Linked DNA regions of Schizosaccharomyces pombe. The protein of the gene in region 1 binds, or shares a complex with, the protein of each later gene. Each region holds a gene or a part of one and is shown on either strand. Other genes may lie near its edges. A codon is read from its position in the direction of its gene.

The links.
Region 2: the proteins of rpb2 (region 1) and rpb3 are in contact, whole or in part, in a crystal structure (PDB 3H0G), measured with the Schizosaccharomyces pombe proteins. Residues at the interface, in NP_593101.2 of Schizosaccharomyces pombe: Gln775 (codon at 1,862), Tyr786 (codon at 1,829), Tyr787 (codon at 1,826), Ala833 (codon at 1,688), Asp836 (codon at 1,679), Arg837 (codon at 1,676), Gly838 (codon at 1,673), Arg841 (codon at 1,664), Ile843 (codon at 1,658), Arg893 (codon at 1,508), Ile937 (codon at 1,376), Arg958 (codon at 1,313), Ser959 (codon at 1,310), Thr960 (codon at 1,307), Arg984 (codon at 1,235), His985 (codon at 1,232), Glu986 (codon at 1,229), Asp987 (codon at 1,226), Phe990 (codon at 1,217), Ala992 (codon at 1,211), Gln993 (codon at 1,208), Gly994 (codon at 1,205), Arg1049 (codon at 1,040), Gly1052 (codon at 1,031), Phe1053 (codon at 1,028), Gln1054 (codon at 1,025), Ser1055 (codon at 1,022), Arg1056 (codon at 1,019), Phe1058 (codon at 1,013), Glu1059 (codon at 1,010); in NP_588324.1 of Schizosaccharomyces pombe: Leu26 (codon at 1,728), Asn30 (codon at 1,782), Arg33 (codon at 1,791), Arg34 (codon at 1,794), Leu37 (codon at 1,803), Ala38 (codon at 1,806), Val56 (codon at 1,906), Pro58 (codon at 1,912), Asp59 (codon at 1,915), Glu60 (codon at 1,918), Phe61 (codon at 1,921), His64 (codon at 1,930), Arg65 (codon at 1,933), Met68 (codon at 1,942), Lys166 (codon at 2,236), His168 (codon at 2,242), Ala169 (codon at 2,245), Ala176 (codon at 2,266), Val177 (codon at 2,269), Ala178 (codon at 2,272), Phe179 (codon at 2,275), Glu180 (codon at 2,278), Tyr181 (codon at 2,281), Asp182 (codon at 2,284), Trp184 (codon at 2,290), Asn185 (codon at 2,293), His189 (codon at 2,305), Thr190 (codon at 2,308), Asp191 (codon at 2,311), Tyr192 (codon at 2,314).
Region 3: the proteins of rpb2 (region 1) and rpb9 are in contact, whole or in part, in a crystal structure (PDB 3H0G), measured with the Schizosaccharomyces pombe proteins. Residues at the interface, in NP_593101.2 of Schizosaccharomyces pombe: Lys212 (codon at 3,551), Tyr221 (codon at 3,524), Pro279 (codon at 3,350), Asp280 (codon at 3,347), Arg281 (codon at 3,344), Leu284 (codon at 3,335), Phe294 (codon at 3,305), Gln295 (codon at 3,302), Lys301 (codon at 3,284), Ile304 (codon at 3,275), Phe308 (codon at 3,263), Gln311 (codon at 3,254), Leu376 (codon at 3,059), Glu377 (codon at 3,056), Arg378 (codon at 3,053), Arg379 (codon at 3,050), Glu380 (codon at 3,047), Arg603 (codon at 2,378), Ile605 (codon at 2,372), Arg606 (codon at 2,369), Glu683 (codon at 2,138), Val685 (codon at 2,132), Met686 (codon at 2,129), His723 (codon at 2,018), His725 (codon at 2,012); in NP_594705.1 of Schizosaccharomyces pombe: Asn3 (codon at 1,485), Phe4 (codon at 1,482), Tyr6 (codon at 1,476), Asn11 (codon at 1,461), Asn12 (codon at 1,458), Met13 (codon at 1,455), Tyr15 (codon at 1,382), Arg30 (codon at 1,337), Asn31 (codon at 1,334), Tyr44 (codon at 1,172), Glu47 (codon at 1,163), Gln49 (codon at 1,157), Asn52 (codon at 1,148), Asp61 (codon at 1,079), Thr64 (codon at 1,070), Asp65 (codon at 1,067), Pro66 (codon at 1,064), Thr67 (codon at 1,061), Leu68 (codon at 1,058), Pro69 (codon at 1,055), Arg70 (codon at 1,052), Ser71 (codon at 1,049), Asp72 (codon at 1,046), Glu82 (codon at 1,016), Phe85 (codon at 1,007), His89 (codon at 995), Ser90 (codon at 992), Arg91 (codon at 989), Arg92 (codon at 986).

Annotation. Positions count from the first base shown.
Region 1 is NC_003424.3:848,967-854,897, reverse strand, and holds rpb2 (DNA-directed RNA polymerase II complex subunit Rpb2), read right to left. Parts: upstream 4,263-5,931; 5' UTR 4,223-4,262; coding exon 4,207-4,222; exon of another isoform or gene 4,169-4,206; coding exon 552-4,168; 3' UTR 513-551; downstream 1-512. Other genes in the region: ferrichrome synthetase Sib1, read left to right, coding at 1-375; rps802 (40S ribosomal protein eS8), read right to left, coding at 4,776-5,378; sst1 (calcium permease), read left to right, coding at 5,922-5,931. UniProt on the Schizosaccharomyces pombe protein: DNA-dependent RNA polymerase catalyzes the transcription of DNA into RNA using the four ribonucleoside triphosphates as substrates. Second largest component of RNA polymerase II which synthesizes mRNA precursors and many functional non-coding RNAs.
Region 2 is NC_003421.2:1,782,349-1,788,631, reverse strand, and holds rpb3 (DNA-directed RNA polymerase II complex subunit Rpb3), read left to right. Parts: upstream 1-1,633; 5' UTR 1,634-1,652; coding exon 1,653-1,732; exon of another isoform or gene 1,733-1,774; coding exon 1,775-1,824; exon of another isoform or gene 1,825-1,870; coding exon 1,871-2,634; 3' UTR 2,635-3,193; coding exon of another isoform or gene 3,194-4,657; 3' UTR 4,658-4,840; coding exon of another isoform or gene 4,841-4,846; 3' UTR 4,847-5,735; downstream 5,736-6,283. Other genes in the region: SPOM_SPCC1442.11C (uncharacterized protein), read left to right, coding at 82-630; mrp49 (mitochondrial 54S ribosomal protein mL61), read right to left, coding at 754-1,021, 1,203-1,342; trp3 (anthranilate synthase component I), read right to left, coding at 3,194-4,657, 4,841-4,846. UniProt on the Schizosaccharomyces pombe protein: DNA-dependent RNA polymerase catalyzes the transcription of DNA into RNA using the four ribonucleoside triphosphates as substrates. Component of RNA polymerase II which synthesizes mRNA precursors and many functional non-coding RNAs.
Region 3 is NC_003424.3:4,750,842-4,754,094, forward strand, and holds rpb9 (DNA-directed RNA polymerase II complex TFIIS subunit Rpb9), read right to left. Parts: upstream 1,565-3,253; 5' UTR 1,492-1,564; coding exon 1,451-1,491; exon of another isoform or gene 1,384-1,450; coding exon 1,317-1,383; exon of another isoform or gene 1,194-1,316; coding exon 1,144-1,193; exon of another isoform or gene 1,102-1,143; coding exon 969-1,101; exon of another isoform or gene 894-968; coding exon 843-893; 3' UTR 549-842; downstream 1-548. Other genes in the region: mid2 (septin ring organizing protein), read right to left, coding at 1-418; pro3 (delta-1-pyrroline-5-carboxylate reductase), read left to right, coding at 1,953-2,801. UniProt on the Schizosaccharomyces pombe protein: DNA-dependent RNA polymerase catalyzes the transcription of DNA into RNA using the four ribonucleoside triphosphates as substrates. Component of RNA polymerase II which synthesizes mRNA precursors and many functional non-coding RNAs.

The sequences.
Region 1 (5,931 bases):
CTCGAAATTCAGTCTTTTTTGAATGAGATTTCGGGAAACCTACAATACATATCTTTGCTGGATCTCCCTGTTCATGGCATGATGGATATCGCAGTAAATTTCTTGTCAACTGGTGATAACAATGAACCAAGTAAAGTTTTCAGCGTATACCCGTTGAAACTCAACAATGCGGAACTAAAGATTAACGAAGTTGAAACCACCATTGATGGTTGTGAAATTTTGTTTGGAAACAAACCCAAGTTAGATTTTGAGTTGGCAATTCGAGATGGTTACCTCGAAATTGGTCTTTTCTGCCAATCGTCTATATTTTCCAAAAGAGAAGCCAGTGTTTTTATAAACAATTTTGTTACAATTATTAAGGAAATTGAACTTTAAATTGAAGCCGAAATTAGGTAACAACTACATTATTATTATATAAATAATATATATATCTGTTAGAACACAATTTAAGTAGCTTATGTAAATAAATGATAGCTTCTTTAAGATCACACCGATCATCCTTCTGTATGTTCATGCTATGTTTATGTATTAATTTATTCAAATAAGCAAAACTACTTATGGTTTTTAGTAAATAACCGCGGTGCAATATTCATCGACATCAATTCTTGGAATAAAAGCTTGGCAGCATACGGTAAATAAACTTGACTAAACCGAGTACGATTTTGACATGATCGGCATTCATATGAGTCTTTTTTGTAACTGGCGATCGCTATCAAACCACAAATATCGCATACTATAACTCGGTACGCATCAGAACAATCAAACAAACGTTCTCGTAATACACTACTACAACCATGAGAAATTTGGCAATCACGTTCCATTTCTCCAAAACGAAGGCCACCATCTCTAGATCTGCCTTCAACGGGTTGACGAGTCAAAATTTGCACAGGTCCTCTAGCACGAGCGTGAATTTTATCGTCCACCAAATGCTTTAGACGCTGATAGTATGTGGGACCAAGAAAAACTTGGGCAACAAGCTTCCTACCAGTATGACCATGGTACATAACTTCAAATCCTCTCGACTGAAAGCCATGTGAACGTAACAGCTTAGAAACCGCTTCAACCGTAACGTCTGTAAAAGGTGTGGCATCACCTTCAAAACCAGATAAAGCAGAAACCTTGCTAAGTTGACATTCGACTAAATGAGCAACTGTCATACGAGACGGAATGGCGTGTGGATTAATGATGATATCAGGAACAATTCCTTGTGCAGAAAATGGCATATCTTCATGACGATATGTCATTCCAATGGTACCTTTTTGACCATGCCTTGACGCGAATTTGTCACCAATTTGGGGTATACGAGTACTTCGCATTCTAACTTTAACAAATTTTAAGCCTTCTTGGTTAGTGGTGACCATTACTTGGTCAACAATACCGCTTTCAGTGCTTCTCAAAGGAGTGGAAACGTCACGCTTTGCATGTAACTGAGTACGTTGACCTAATTCTTCATGATCTAGGGGAATTGGAGCTGTTTTACCAATAATAATATCTTCGCCTGACACTCGAGTGCCAGGAGCAATTAAACCATCATCCTCAAGCTTGTCGTACGTACCGTGTTTCATCCTTAGGGTTGTAGACCGGACCGGCCGTTCAAACTCCTCCATAACAGTCATGCCAATTTTCTTTTCTTGGTCCGTGTACGTTCTGTAGAAAATACTGCGGAATAATCCTCGATCAATACTAGCTTGATTCATAATAATGGAGTCTTCTTGGTTATAGCCACTATAACATAGAATGGCGACAATAGCATTCTGGCCAGCAGGAAGTTCACGGAACTTTAGGTACTCCATCGATCGAGTAGTCGCCAACGGCTTCTGTGGATAGTATAGGATATTTGCCATGGTATCCATTCGTACTTGGTAGTTTGTAAGATAAACTCCCATAGCCTGTTTACCCATTGCAGATTGATAAGTATTACGAGGTGATTGATTATGATCAGGAAAAGGGATAATACTAGCAAGGATGCCAAGAATCATCGCAGGATGTATTTCACAATGGGTCCAAGCATGCACATGAGGATTAGGAGCTGGCTTAACTCTTTGTGCAGGATCCAGTTCTTCCTTAACTTCATACCCAGCTTGCATTTGACGTGATGCTTCAAGATCTTCCGGACTCATTGCTATCATAACCGTCTCCTCTTCTTCTGCATCTAGATACTCAATGAGACCACTAGATACTAAAGCGGTCCATCCAAAGCGTTGTTCGGGGTCAATGTCATATCTGTCTTTATCCTCTATTAGTTGTTGGATATGCTCTTTACGAATACATAACTCTCCTCTTCTTTCACTATTAGGATTGTTATCCACAATAAATAATGGTCTACAAATACGACCTGCATCTGTAAAGAGACGAAGCTCTTTTTCACGGATATCGCGAACGATACTAACCTCTGCAGATATGTCCAATCTACGACGAAGGCTGCGTAGCGTCTCTGTTAAATGAGCTGGATCACGATGTACTCCTAACCACACACCATTCACGAAGACCTTTGTTGCATTAGGAGACGCTGAAGGGTTGTAATCTTCCAGTGTTTCTAAACCCCATTCTTCTAAAAACTCGATAATTGGAGCACTGGGTGAACCTACGGAAACATAGCTCATTAGAGACAAATTTTTGACTAAGCCGCAAGCTTGTCCTTCTGGTGTTTCAGCAGGGCAAACCATACCCCAGTGTGTGTTGTGCAACTGACGGGGTTTAGCCAATTTTCCGTCTCTACCGATAGGAGTATTTGTACGTCTTAAATGTGATAAAGTTGAAGCGAATGTATATCGGTTAAGAACTTGTGATACACCAACCCGATTAACCATACTGCGTTTTTGGTCTCCCCAATTACCAGTAGCCAATGAATAACGTAAACCATTGGTAATAATGTTTGACTTCACAGCCAGGGTAAGGTTGAATTCACGATTTGTTTCAACGCATTTCTGCATATACTTATACACATCGCGAGTCATTTTACGAAAGAGCATACGGAACAGAGATGCAAGTAATGGACCTGCAAGGTCAAGACGCTTTTTCCCGAAATGATCTCGATCATCTGGTTCACGACGCTCTAACGCACACAAAAGCATACGATGGATCATGTAACCTAAGAAAAACGCCTTTCTAGTCTCAAAACCTTCCATTGTAGTAATATGCGGAAGCAGCTCTTTCTGTAAAATGTCATGGGCATATCGAAGACGTTTTTCACGCGTAACACCAGTAGTACTGCCTCTTTTACCAATGTAATCCAAAGCTATATCTTTATCTTGAATCACAAATGCTTCTTCGATACAGGGCTTCATCATTTCAAGCATTTGGAAATCATTTGGGTCGTAGCATATATGTTCCAAAATATCACGATCAGGTACAACTCCAAGAGCACGGAACACGATGACGATAGGAATGTCACTCCTGATATATGGAAGTGTTGCTCTAATTGTCTGACCAGAATTCTCAGTATTACGTGCCATTAACTTAATCTGCATAGAAGAAATAAGCCTACTACCTCGTTCCAAAGCAGAGCGAATTTCAGCAACGTAAGCGATGGGGCTCGGAGCGGCTTTTTTAAATACTTGTACAATATTGGCAGCAGATCTCTCTTGAGCAATGATTACCTTTTCAGAGCCATTGATAATAAAGTATCCTCCCTGATCATAAGGGCACTCATTCAAATCGTACAATTCAGAATCACTAACACCATTTAAAATGCAAAAAGTAGAACGGAGCATGATTGGTATCTTTCCAATAAAAACTTTTGAGGGTTCTTCATCCTCTTCTTCAACAAGCCACTCCTCTTCGCCGATGGGAACATTAGAATCGGCAGCAACCATAACTTTTTTACGCATGTCAACGTATAAAGGAGACGAGTAAGTCAAGTTACGAAGCCTCGCCTCTTGAGGAAACATAGTAGTTGTACTACCATCAGCTTCAGTCATTGTAGGCCTTGAAAGATAAATCTGTCCAAAATTTATTTCGTATCGACGTGTAACATCTCCTTGAGCACCCGTGTGTTGTGCATATTGATCTAGAGTTAAAGTGGAATCATCATCAACAATTTCTTGCATAGTATTTTGAACAAACTCATCGAAAGAGAACAATTGTTGCCGAGCTAACGACGTTTCCTCAAAAAACGACGAGATCACGGTCCAACAATCCTCCTGAGTCAATGTCTCATTGTATTGATCTATTATGGTGTTAAAAATGACTTTATTAGTAACTTACAATCCTCATAAGACATTGTTGTTGAAATGGCACACGCAACAGGATATGTTGGCGGTGAGGAAGAGGAATAAATGTTGAGGCTACCGTAACAAGGATATCGTACCGTAGTGGCAATTCGACTTTGTGTTCAGTAAAAAAGTCTTTAAGCATCAAAAAAAGAACCAGTTTTTTTATATCTTTTACTTGTTTTAATCATTCAATATAGCTAAGGTACGTGAAAGGCCATTTTCCTTTCAAAGCAATTCGCAACTCTTTCATTATGTGTAAAAGGCTACTTAGCGTGAATTTTTATTAAAAAGGTAAAGGCTTCACTAAACGTAGTTCAATGAGATTTAGTAAAGAAATCATATCTAATAGCACATAAACGAATTTCAATTACTGATTGGGACAAATGGAGAGATTACTAAACATTTAGCAGACACTTTTCTAAATGCCAATAATAAAAATTACCTTCTCTACATAATTAACGACCTTGGTTACTGATAATAATCAACAATACAGGTGAAATACAACAATCTCGGAATCCTTTTATTCCTTCCTTTATGAACTAATTTATTGAAGAAACAACCTTATTTCTTAGGAGCCATACGACGAAGGTAGAAATGTAACTCTTCACCTTCAAGGATGTAGCCGTCGCAACGACCAGATTGACCAGGGCGAGAGGAAACTACAGCATACAAACGGCCAGCAGCAAACTGAGTTTCCAAAGCGGAATCAACCTTAGAATCGCCAAGACGAGCGCTATGCTTACGTTGAACATGCTTGGATTTGGGAGTAGGTGTAGCAGTGGCCTTCTTACCCTTGCTTCCCATCAAAATACCGTAGTGAGTTTCATACCAAACACGGAAAGGAGCGGCATCAATTTGGACGATGGCCGACTTGGTCAAAGTGTTGGTACGAACCAACTCGTTGTTAGAAGGGTGGTAGGCGACTTGAATGATACGAGTCTTCTTGGAAACACCTTCAGAGCCCCAAGAGAAGTTACCAGAGTCAAGACGAAGAGCACGGAACTTCTTGTTTCCACCACGAACACGAACCTCATGGATACGCTTAGGTCCAATACGAGTGTTGGAAGGTTGACGACCCAACTCGAATTTTCTCTTCTTACGGTATTGAGCACGCTTAGCACCGGTAGCAGAGCGCTTGTGGCGGGAATCTCTCGTAATACCCATCCTGATCCTTTTGCAGAAAGAGATTTGCTGTGGTTACGATGAACTAGTATATAACACAGTAACTGAAATTGTTTGGGTTTGGCTGTGACTGTTATTTTTGTTTCATACTACTACTAATACTTTGTACTTAACGAAATTCGGTGTATTCTTACAAAAACCGATACCGTAAGTTAGCGTATTATCGCTTAGCTCTACATTTAGTAAACTGTACAACGATGCTCGGCTCTGATTAAGCTCAATTCATCCCGACAATCTTTAACGAAGTAAACATTGTATGCTCATTAACGAACTAATGGGAGGACTTCGATATTGTAGAATTGGCGTTCTTTTTTTCAATTTGGTATTCTGATTATGATATGCGTAATAGAAAATGATCGCAACCTTTCCAATCATGCCTTCCTTTCTCACTATTCCTTCAACAATTTTTTATAAATACCTATTTACTCAATCCTCTTAGCTACGTACAGGTGTTTTAAGGGATAGAATATTTGGCGAGGGTTTGATTCGGAAAAGTAATCATTGTGACAATTACTACCGCCTACAATGTCTCAAC
Region 2 (6,283 bases), on another chromosome or scaffold:
TTTTTTTGTACAATTTCTCTTAATAAGATAAAGTTAGATAACATCTTCTGTTCAGTTAAACTTTGAATCGTTTACAAGTACATGCTCATCGTTAACAGAAACCCGAAGAGTTTGGTAAGAGGATATTGTAAAAAAGATATTGTACTTCGTAATTTAGATGGTTGGCTATTTGATATGATCACAATTTCAACCATTTTTAAACTCTACAATCAAATTTGTTCACTTTCCTCCACTGACCGAAAAAAAACCTCAATATCTAATAAACTGCAGCAGGAATTTTGCATTATGGATATAAACAAAGTTGGCAGAAATTTTATTTCTTTAGGAAAAATACGATCAAGTAAGAGGAGAAACGCTATTTTGTCATACCAAACGATCATTAGTTCATTCCCTCATAATCATGTACAAAAACTTTTTCAAAGAACTCAATCAACAAATATGATTTATACCAAGTTAGAATATTTCGGTCATTCTTTGTTCTTTTATTTTACGGCATTTACGCTCTCGTTCAAGGATAGAAAAATCTTAATGCAAGCCGATGTATTTTTTAGACTAAAGCTCGTATTCAAGATAGCATTCTTTTTCACTCAAACAACTTTTTTAAATAAAAAAGAAAATAGGGAATTGTAGGTTTATGGATCATCAAACAAAGGAATACAGTAAACGGACTGCAGCAAAACTAAAGGTTTTTTAGAAAAAAAAAAGATGCATATTTTGTTCACTGAAAAAAAGTAATTTTAAAAGCGTTTTTGCTTAATTAGAAGGAGGTGAATAATCTTGTTTGTGCGCTTCCTTAATGTTTTCCGGGGATGACTCGTGATGAAGTTCTTTAAGCGCTTTTTGAATATCGGAAGAAATTGTTTCCAGCTGTTTTGACCGCATGTCGTACGAATAGATTACTTTGTTGTTTGAGATAATGGAAAATGTTGGAGTTTGATCGTTCGGTAAACGGTGATTAACGTTAAACTTCAAGCCGTAATTGTTGTAATACAATGAAGGAAGACATTCTTTTACAAATTTTCTAGAATTTAAAACGTTAGCAATGAACAACGCATGAAACGGAATCGTAGATCAGTGCTTCCTCACACAAAGTATTATCAAGCAGTTATTTGAGAGAATTAAACATGAATTGAGCATAAAATGTTTGAGGTACCAGTACATAGACAACATCGATGATTCTAACACGAATAAACAAAACTTACTTAGCACCCATATGTCCCAAACGGCTGTCTAAAGAATATTGAATAGATACTTCCTGAATATGTTTTGGTAAAGGAATCCCTAAAGCTCCAGCACGAATCTTGTGCAAAGATTTTTGTAATTTACCGCCTATGCTAGACATGGCGAAAATGTAAAGTTGTAGTAATAATCAGCCAAACAAAAATGAAAGAGTTTGAAACAATATGTTTTTATTCAAATATTCTGTCGGGATGAACAGAGAATATAAATATTAATGAATTAAGCCTAATGCCGTAGATTCGTACTCTCTTGTCAATTGTTGCTTGCTCTCTTTAAAAGCGAGTTCCTTGATCTCGCATTTAACGTAGTTTAGTGTGTCCTTATGCTAAATAAGGGATCACCTAACAGTGCGGAATGGGAGAAATGAGTATGAAATTCTGCAACAAGCATAGACCAAACGACACATTCTCATTATGGATTCAGAAACGCATATTACGATACGAAATATAAGTAAAAACTCGGTGGATTTTGTCCTTACAAATACAAGTTTGGCGTAAGTGAAAAGCTCTAGGAAATTCCTTCTAATAGTTGAAAGAGTTGCAAACTCGCTGCGACGTGTTGTACTTGCAGAGATTCCAACAGTGGGTAAGATTTAGGTTCATTCTTGAATTAAATACTAATGATGTTTTAGCCATTGACCTAGTTGAAATTAATGTGAATACCTCAGTCATGCCTGATGAGTTTCTAGCACATCGTCTTGGTATGATACCTCTGGATAGCTCCAACATCGATGAACCGCCTCCAGTAGGTTTGGAATATACGCGCAATTGCGATTGCGATCAGTATTGTCCCAAGTGTTCAGTCGAGTTGTTCCTAAATGCCAAATGTACTGGTGAGGGTACGATGGAAATTTATGCTAGAGATCTTGTTGTTTCTTCTAACTCTTCTCTTGGACACCCTATTCTCGCCGATCCAAAATCACGCGGACCGCTTATTTGCAAACTCAGAAAAGAGCAGGAAATTTCTCTGCGTTGCATTGCCAAGAAGGGTATAGCTAAAGAACATGCTAAGTGGTCACCTACTTCAGCTGTTGCATTTGAATACGATCCATGGAACAAGTTACAGCATACTGATTACTGGTTTGAGAATGATGCAGATGCAGAGTGGCCAAAAAGCAAAAATGCCGATTGGGAAGAACCACCGCGGGAAGGCGAACCATTCAACTTCCAAGAGGAACCGCGTCGGTTTTATATGGATGTCGAAAGTGTCGGTTCTATACCACCCAATGAAATAATGGTTCAAGGTTTACGAATTCTTCAGGAAAAGCTTGCAGTTTTAGTTCGTGATCTCGACGAAGAGCAGCCTACTCAACTTTCTGCTAACGAACTGAATATGGAGGAGAATGCAGAAATGAACTGGTCTCCCTATCAAAATGGTGAAGAAAACACGTGGTAGACTATGCTTCAATTCTTTTCTAAAAATTATCCATTTTCATCCTTTATATGTTTGTTGTTATAAAAAATACTCTAGATGCGTTTTTTTAATCATCTAAAAGTTTTTAATTTATGGCCTGCGTCCGTTCATGTCATACCTTACACATTTTTATCTAATCCTTTTTTTTTTGGCTTTTGGCTACAACATATTGTACGTATTGATATGCATATATAGAGATATATATTCCTCCCTCATATCATAATTTTGTTCTTCTTCACTTGGATTTATTATAGCTTTAGATAATTTCGTGAAAGAGAACACTTTCGGAATTGTCGTTTTGATATCTTTTTAATTTTCGGTGATTGCCTCTTGAACTCTTTGTTGGAAAGTTTATATCGGCTCACCATGCTCACAATGAATAGACAAAGTTGCTACAAGTGGACAACGAGATTACAGAATACAATTTTTTATAACGATGTTTTATTCGTTTACCAAAAATAAAGACAACAAAAAAGTTTTTAAAAACCTCAACACTTTAAAATAACATGTACAACGAGAACCGAAAGCGTCTCCTTTACTTTTATGCTGAAGAGTTTTCTTCTTCAGCGTATAATTTTTCGGTTTCCTCAATTGCAGTAACATTTGAACGTAGTTTGTTTAAAGTTTCCACGTACTCATCTTGTTCATCTGAATCAAACACAATACCACCACCGGCTTGCAAATAAACAGTTCCGTCTTTATAAACCATTGTACGGATTGCTATACAAGTATCCATGTTGTCATCTTCATAGCCCCAACGACCTACGGCTCCCGCGTATATACCACGCTTTTCTTTCTCTAATCCATAAACGAGCTGAATTGCACGGACTTTGGGAGACCCACTGACCGTTCCAGCCGGAAATATACTACGGAATGCATCAAAACGAGTTTTATCAGGTCTCAGAACACCAGAAACTTGAGAAACAAGATGCTGAACATGAGAAAACTTTTCAATAGTCATCAACTTGTCAACACTTGTTGTGTCGAGATCACAGACACGACTGACATCGTTTCTTGCCAAGTCCACCAGCATTACATGTTCAGCTCTATCCTTGACACTAGCAAGTAAATCCTTGGCATATGCCTCATCCTCTTCTTTAGTTTTTCCTCTTGGAACAGTTCCGGCAATGGGATGATTGATAATACGCCCATGCTCTGATTTAACCAGTAATTCAGGGGAAGCACCGATTATGTCGAAATCATCACAGTGGATGTAGAACATATAAGGGGACGGGTTAACTGTTCTTAAATGGCGGTACAAATTAAAAGGATGTAAATCTGTACGCCTAGCAATCCGTTGGCTTGGGACAGCTTGGAAAATATCGCCATTAAAGATATGTTCCTTGAGGTTGGAAACAAATGCTTTATACCCGTCTTCGCCTACATTTGACTTAGCTTCGTATCCTAAATGGACCTTCTTTTGCTCAGGCAAAGGAATTTCAGGACTTTCAAGTTTCTTTTTAAGCATATTGATTTTGAAAACGGCAGCTTCGTAAGCCTCTTCAATGGGTCGGCCTTGCTGAATGCAAACATGAGAAATTATCTTGACAGTCTGATAAGCATGATCGAAAGCGACTAAATCGTCGGTCATGAAAAACATAGCCTCCGGAAGACCCAAGGTATCTTCTAAAGGCATTTCAGTAGTGGGTTCAAAATATTTGATGCAATCATAAGAAACATAGCCCACAGCACCTCCACTGAAAGATGGCAGACCCTCAACAGGGGCTGTTTTAACTTCTTTCAACTCACGTTCTAAACGTGCCAAAGGATCTGTTTTTCCATTGGCCATTAATATTCTATAAGGGCTGCCAATAAAACTGTATCTTGAGACACTCTCTCCTTGAGTGACACTTTCTAAAATAAACGAATACTTCTTTCCTTGATTAAGCTTCAAGTAGGCTACTGAAGGAGTCAGCATATCGGCAGGGATTACTCCATAAATGGGAATCTTGTTAGCCTTGTGCTTTTCAGCAAGCTCTTGAACTTGTTTCAAGTCAGGATAAATCTAAAATAGTATTAGTATCATGTATTAATTTTAAGCTTCATAGCCCTAGAAACGGCGACTTTTACAGTTAAAAGCAATACAACAAAGGAAAGACCCAATCCTAAACTCGTCAATATATCCCAATACTACTATTTATTTTCCATAGGTTGGGTCTCCTTGTTAGAACAAAAAAAATCAAATTACCTTCATCTTATTGACAAGTCTATACTCGAATAAGTGCAAATTCAATAGCAAACCAAAAAAATCCCTTAAACTTGAACCGATCTATTTCCAGAAAGACAAGCAATTCCAAATTTTTCTGTAAGCGAAGAAAGAAAACAAAAGAACCAATTAATTCAACAACGTAAAGCTGCTGGAAGAAGACAACTTGTGAAAGTTGGAAAATTCATCTAAATTAGATGAAAAATATAACGGATGCGTTGGAAAACGTTATATGGTTAAATGTAAATAAAAGACTGGAAATAGGAATTAGGAAGTTATATTTAACTGCGGACAAACCGATAAAAGTATTTTGTTTTAGGATAAGATTTATTTTTTTCCTAAGCTCTTAGGCAAATTCTTAAAATGGCCAAAGTTTCGTCGAACATAAACTGCAATCTAGTTAAGATCTTGATTTCTTTTTTTTTTATTTTATTTATCTAGTCTCCTTGGTTTGATTTAAAAATGTTAAAAATAAAAGGCATTCGTTTAGATGAAAAGGGTGTGTATGTTAGCTAGAAAGTTGCAGACCTGAATAGAGGAGAAGACACTGTGTAAAAGTCCTCTACAAAATCTATGAAATTTCGTGAATCATGCGCTTATAATATTCAGAAATTGAAAAGAGGAACAACGATTATAACGAAAGAGAACTAAGAGGATTTAGGCGTTGGAATTGGTATAAGAGAATACATGACTCGCTATTAGGGCAATTCAGAATAATGTTATATTTATGCTAACAAATTTATAAATTTAATAGAGTCGACTACCCTTAGGATTTGAAGTGCGTCTTATACCGAAACGATCGAAGTGAATTAAAGTGATTGCTTGTTTAAGTGCAATTGAACAGTCAAGGCTAGTCATCTATAAATCTGAACAGTTCAACTTAATAAGCAAAAAGTAATGTTATTCGATCAAGGATTTTTCGTCTTGTGAATGATCTTGCAAGTTAATAAAAACGGAGATGAAACTCTCGAACGTATAAAAACAATCAATCGCTGGTTAAATTCAATCTTTTAGCAAAAAAGGATTTTAATTGTATAATGTATTCAATCGGGAAAAGCAAAAGAGGGTCTTTCACGCGGCACTATTTTTTTGCCTGAAAATAAATAAGTAAATAGAACAGTATCCTAAAAACAGTTTATTCAAATCCTTTTTAAACGAGTATAGGAATCTTGTTTGTTATATATTGGATCTCTGTCAGTTCAAATTCATGTTATTAAGTAGAATAAATACCTCTTTCACTTCACTCAATAAACGCAGATGCAAAAAGAAAATAGGAAAAATAGTATAGGATAAAGGTAAGATCGCACTGTTATTAAACAGTTATTTTACTTCTACAGTGTTGATTCCTCATGATTTCAAGTTAAGATATTGTCGTACAAAATCCCGATTCGGGGAATTGAGCTTCACTTAGATTGCAAGCAACGG
Region 3 (3,253 bases), 3.9 Mb from region 1:
TCAAACATGAATCGTTCAATGACAGTATGTTCTCTTTGTTTACGTCTTCAACACTTGTACTACTACTATCCGTTTCATTCATGACAGAGTAAGTTGGGGTCCTACGAACTTCTGTAGAAAAAGGAAGAAGAGACTGATGATCATCAAAACTGGAAGAATTTGATAACGTTTGATCATAAGGGAAACTATCGCCATCTTCAGCATCCTCAGATTCAGCAAAAGAAGGGGCCGTAGACGAGATGTTACTGCGATTAAAATTTCTCATTGTACTTTCTCGAGATATCGATGCGATTGTAGAGGCATAGTCAGAACATTCGTAATCAGTACTTGGGATGGGAGAAGGAATTCTCAATGCTCTATGGATGTCAGCTAAATACATTTTAGCATGCTGATCCTGTTGAGAAGCAGTCATCAACATTATGGAAAGCCTTGGAATTTAACAGCTCTGCTGAAATTAGAATATAAAAAAAAATAAAGGCACAAAGAATTAAGGGTTTTTATTTAATTGGTATTCGGATTACAAGGCTATTCCGTATGGATTATTGTATACAAATAACTGAAACAGTTTCAGTATATTCCAGAAGGTACACCGAATGTGAAATAAAGAAATTCAAGTGTTTTGGTAGGCGCGTTGCTTAATATAAAGGAAGGAGGCGAGCATATGATTGAGAGGCTGGTAAATCCATTTTCGGCAAAGGTGGCTGGTATCACTCGAAAATCCAGTTTTCCAGCACAGAAGCGAGAGAGTGGTTACATCAAGCGGATCATTTAAACCGAAGTCTAAGAGCCATTGGTGGACGCAGCTAGTTTTACAATCCCTTGTTAGACCGAATTGTCGCATATTACTGTTCTTCAAAAGCAAATCCACAATGTACGCAAACATAAATCAGAGTCTAATTAAGTCAGTAAAATTGTTTTTAAACCTAAATATTAAAATTGTTTTCTCAATGAAACAATGCGAAACACACCATCATAGTATCACCCCGACGAGAATGAGTCTGATAAAAAACTGCTTCATGTTGATGACAACGCGGGCATTCTTTGTCTGATCTAGGTAAAGTAGGGTCCGTTGAAGCGTCGTGACTGACCGTCGTGTTTTCTCTACAAATTTAGTGATTATTCGAAGGATGAAATCTAACTTACACATTGGAGCTTTGTAACTCATGGCGATAAACTTTACTAGTAGCAGCGATCTATACAAATTAGCTGATGAGATATTTAAAACTTCCAAATGATGAGGAAAAAAGTAATCGAAAAGAACTTCGAATTTTTTTCTTGAAGTGAATAAACCCAGTAGGAGAAAAAAACAAGCTTACCTCTGAGTAATCACAATTACGACAAGCTAGCCTCAGAACACGATCCACTTTATCCTCTCTAGGGTACCTATTTATTTCATGTTAGTGTTTTCAAACAATTTTCAGTGTCATCTTTTTGAGAAACTAATCCGTACAGCATATTATTGCATTCTATACAATATTGAAAATTTGACATTTTAAAAAAGCAAACAAAAGTATTTTACTTCAACGCAATAAACTTTCAAAAGAACGTGGTGGTTAGTGGATATGGAAAATACAGTGGACAACAGCGTCCTGATGGTTCACATCTATAAGTTCGAAAAAGCTTTTGTTTATCTACAACGTCTCTACAAGATTTCGTTAAAAACTGTGTAGCTGCTTTAAAATTTATTTGCGATATACTTAATATTACTAATTATATAGAAGATATATTGACTTTAACGTGTAGCATTATTCAAACATGGACTAGTCCTACAAACTTGTAACATCATACTTCAGTATCTTACATTATGCACATCAGCGAGTAAAACGGTAATTTACAGTATGAGTTTGATTTTGGAATTAACGATCCCTTAGCATATGCTTTAGTCGAATTTATTTTCGCTTTAAAAGAAGACTACAAAAATAGTTAAACATTTTTAAGCATAACTTTAAAAAATGTCGGGGTTTTGTGTTCTTGGTTGTGGTACAATGGGAAAAGCACTTTTGACTGGAATCTTTGATTCCATTGCTGAAAATGGAAACGATGTTTCTGACGAAATTATCATTCCGAATAAGTTCTATGCTTGTGTCAAATTTCCTAAAGAAAAAGAGGATGTTCAAAAGCTTTTCGGAGATCGTGTTAAAGTTGTAATGGGGGCCAAAGAGAATGCCGAGATGGCTGCGATTAGTAACGTTTTGTTGTTGAGTTGTAAGCCTCAGGCCGCAGAGGATGTTTTGAATTCCCCAAAGATGAAAGAAGCGCTCAAAGGAAAATTAATTTTGTCAATTTTGGCTGGCAAGACCATCTCTTCATTGCAAAGTATGCTTGATGAAAGTACTAGGGTGATTCGCATTATGCCCAATACTGCTAGTCGAATCCGTGAAAGTATGAGCGTAATTTGCCCGGGACCCAACGCAACTGAAGAAGACATAAAGTTTGCTGAATGGGTATTCAATGGCATTGGACGTTCAATGAAACTTCCCGAAAAGCTTATTGATGCTGCTACCGCTGTATGTGGAAGTGGACCTGCTTTTGTTGCTACTATGATTGAGGCTATGACAGATGGTGGTGTAATGATGGGTATTCCGTTCCCTCAGGCTCAGGAATTGGCTGCCCAAACTATGGTTGGTACAGGTCGTATGGTTTTACAAGGTCAACATCCTGCTATGATTCGTAATGATGTTTCAACTCCTGCCGGATGTACAATTAGTGGTTTGTTGGCATTGGAAGATGGAAAAATTCGAAGCACAATCGCACGTGGTATAGAACAAGCAACCAAGACTGCTTCTGGCCTGGGTAAATGATACTAGCAAATTCATTTTGTGCTATTAAATATCCTGGTTCCAAACATGGATTTGTATATAAAATTCTTGGGTTAGTACTTCTGTTTCCTCTTTAAAGCTAGTTTCGTTATCTAGTTGTATTAAAGCGTTGTGACTTAGTTTCATTCAATGATTCCTCTGTTTAAGCTTGCAATTCTGTTACATTACTAATAATATGCGTATTCGAACAGCGAGATTATATTTCATTAACTTTTTAGAACGTTGTATGCAATTAAACCCATTTCATTGCGATTGCTATCGTAGTGAATTTAGCTAAAGGTATTCAATATTGAAGAAACGTACTATGTTTTGATTATTTTAACATTGTCATAGTCGTACCGATGTAAACAAAATCACCACCATAAACAGCTCCCGTATTTTAAATTTTTATCCTTAATTCGACTCTACTTTTTTTTATTAAAAATACTTAATTG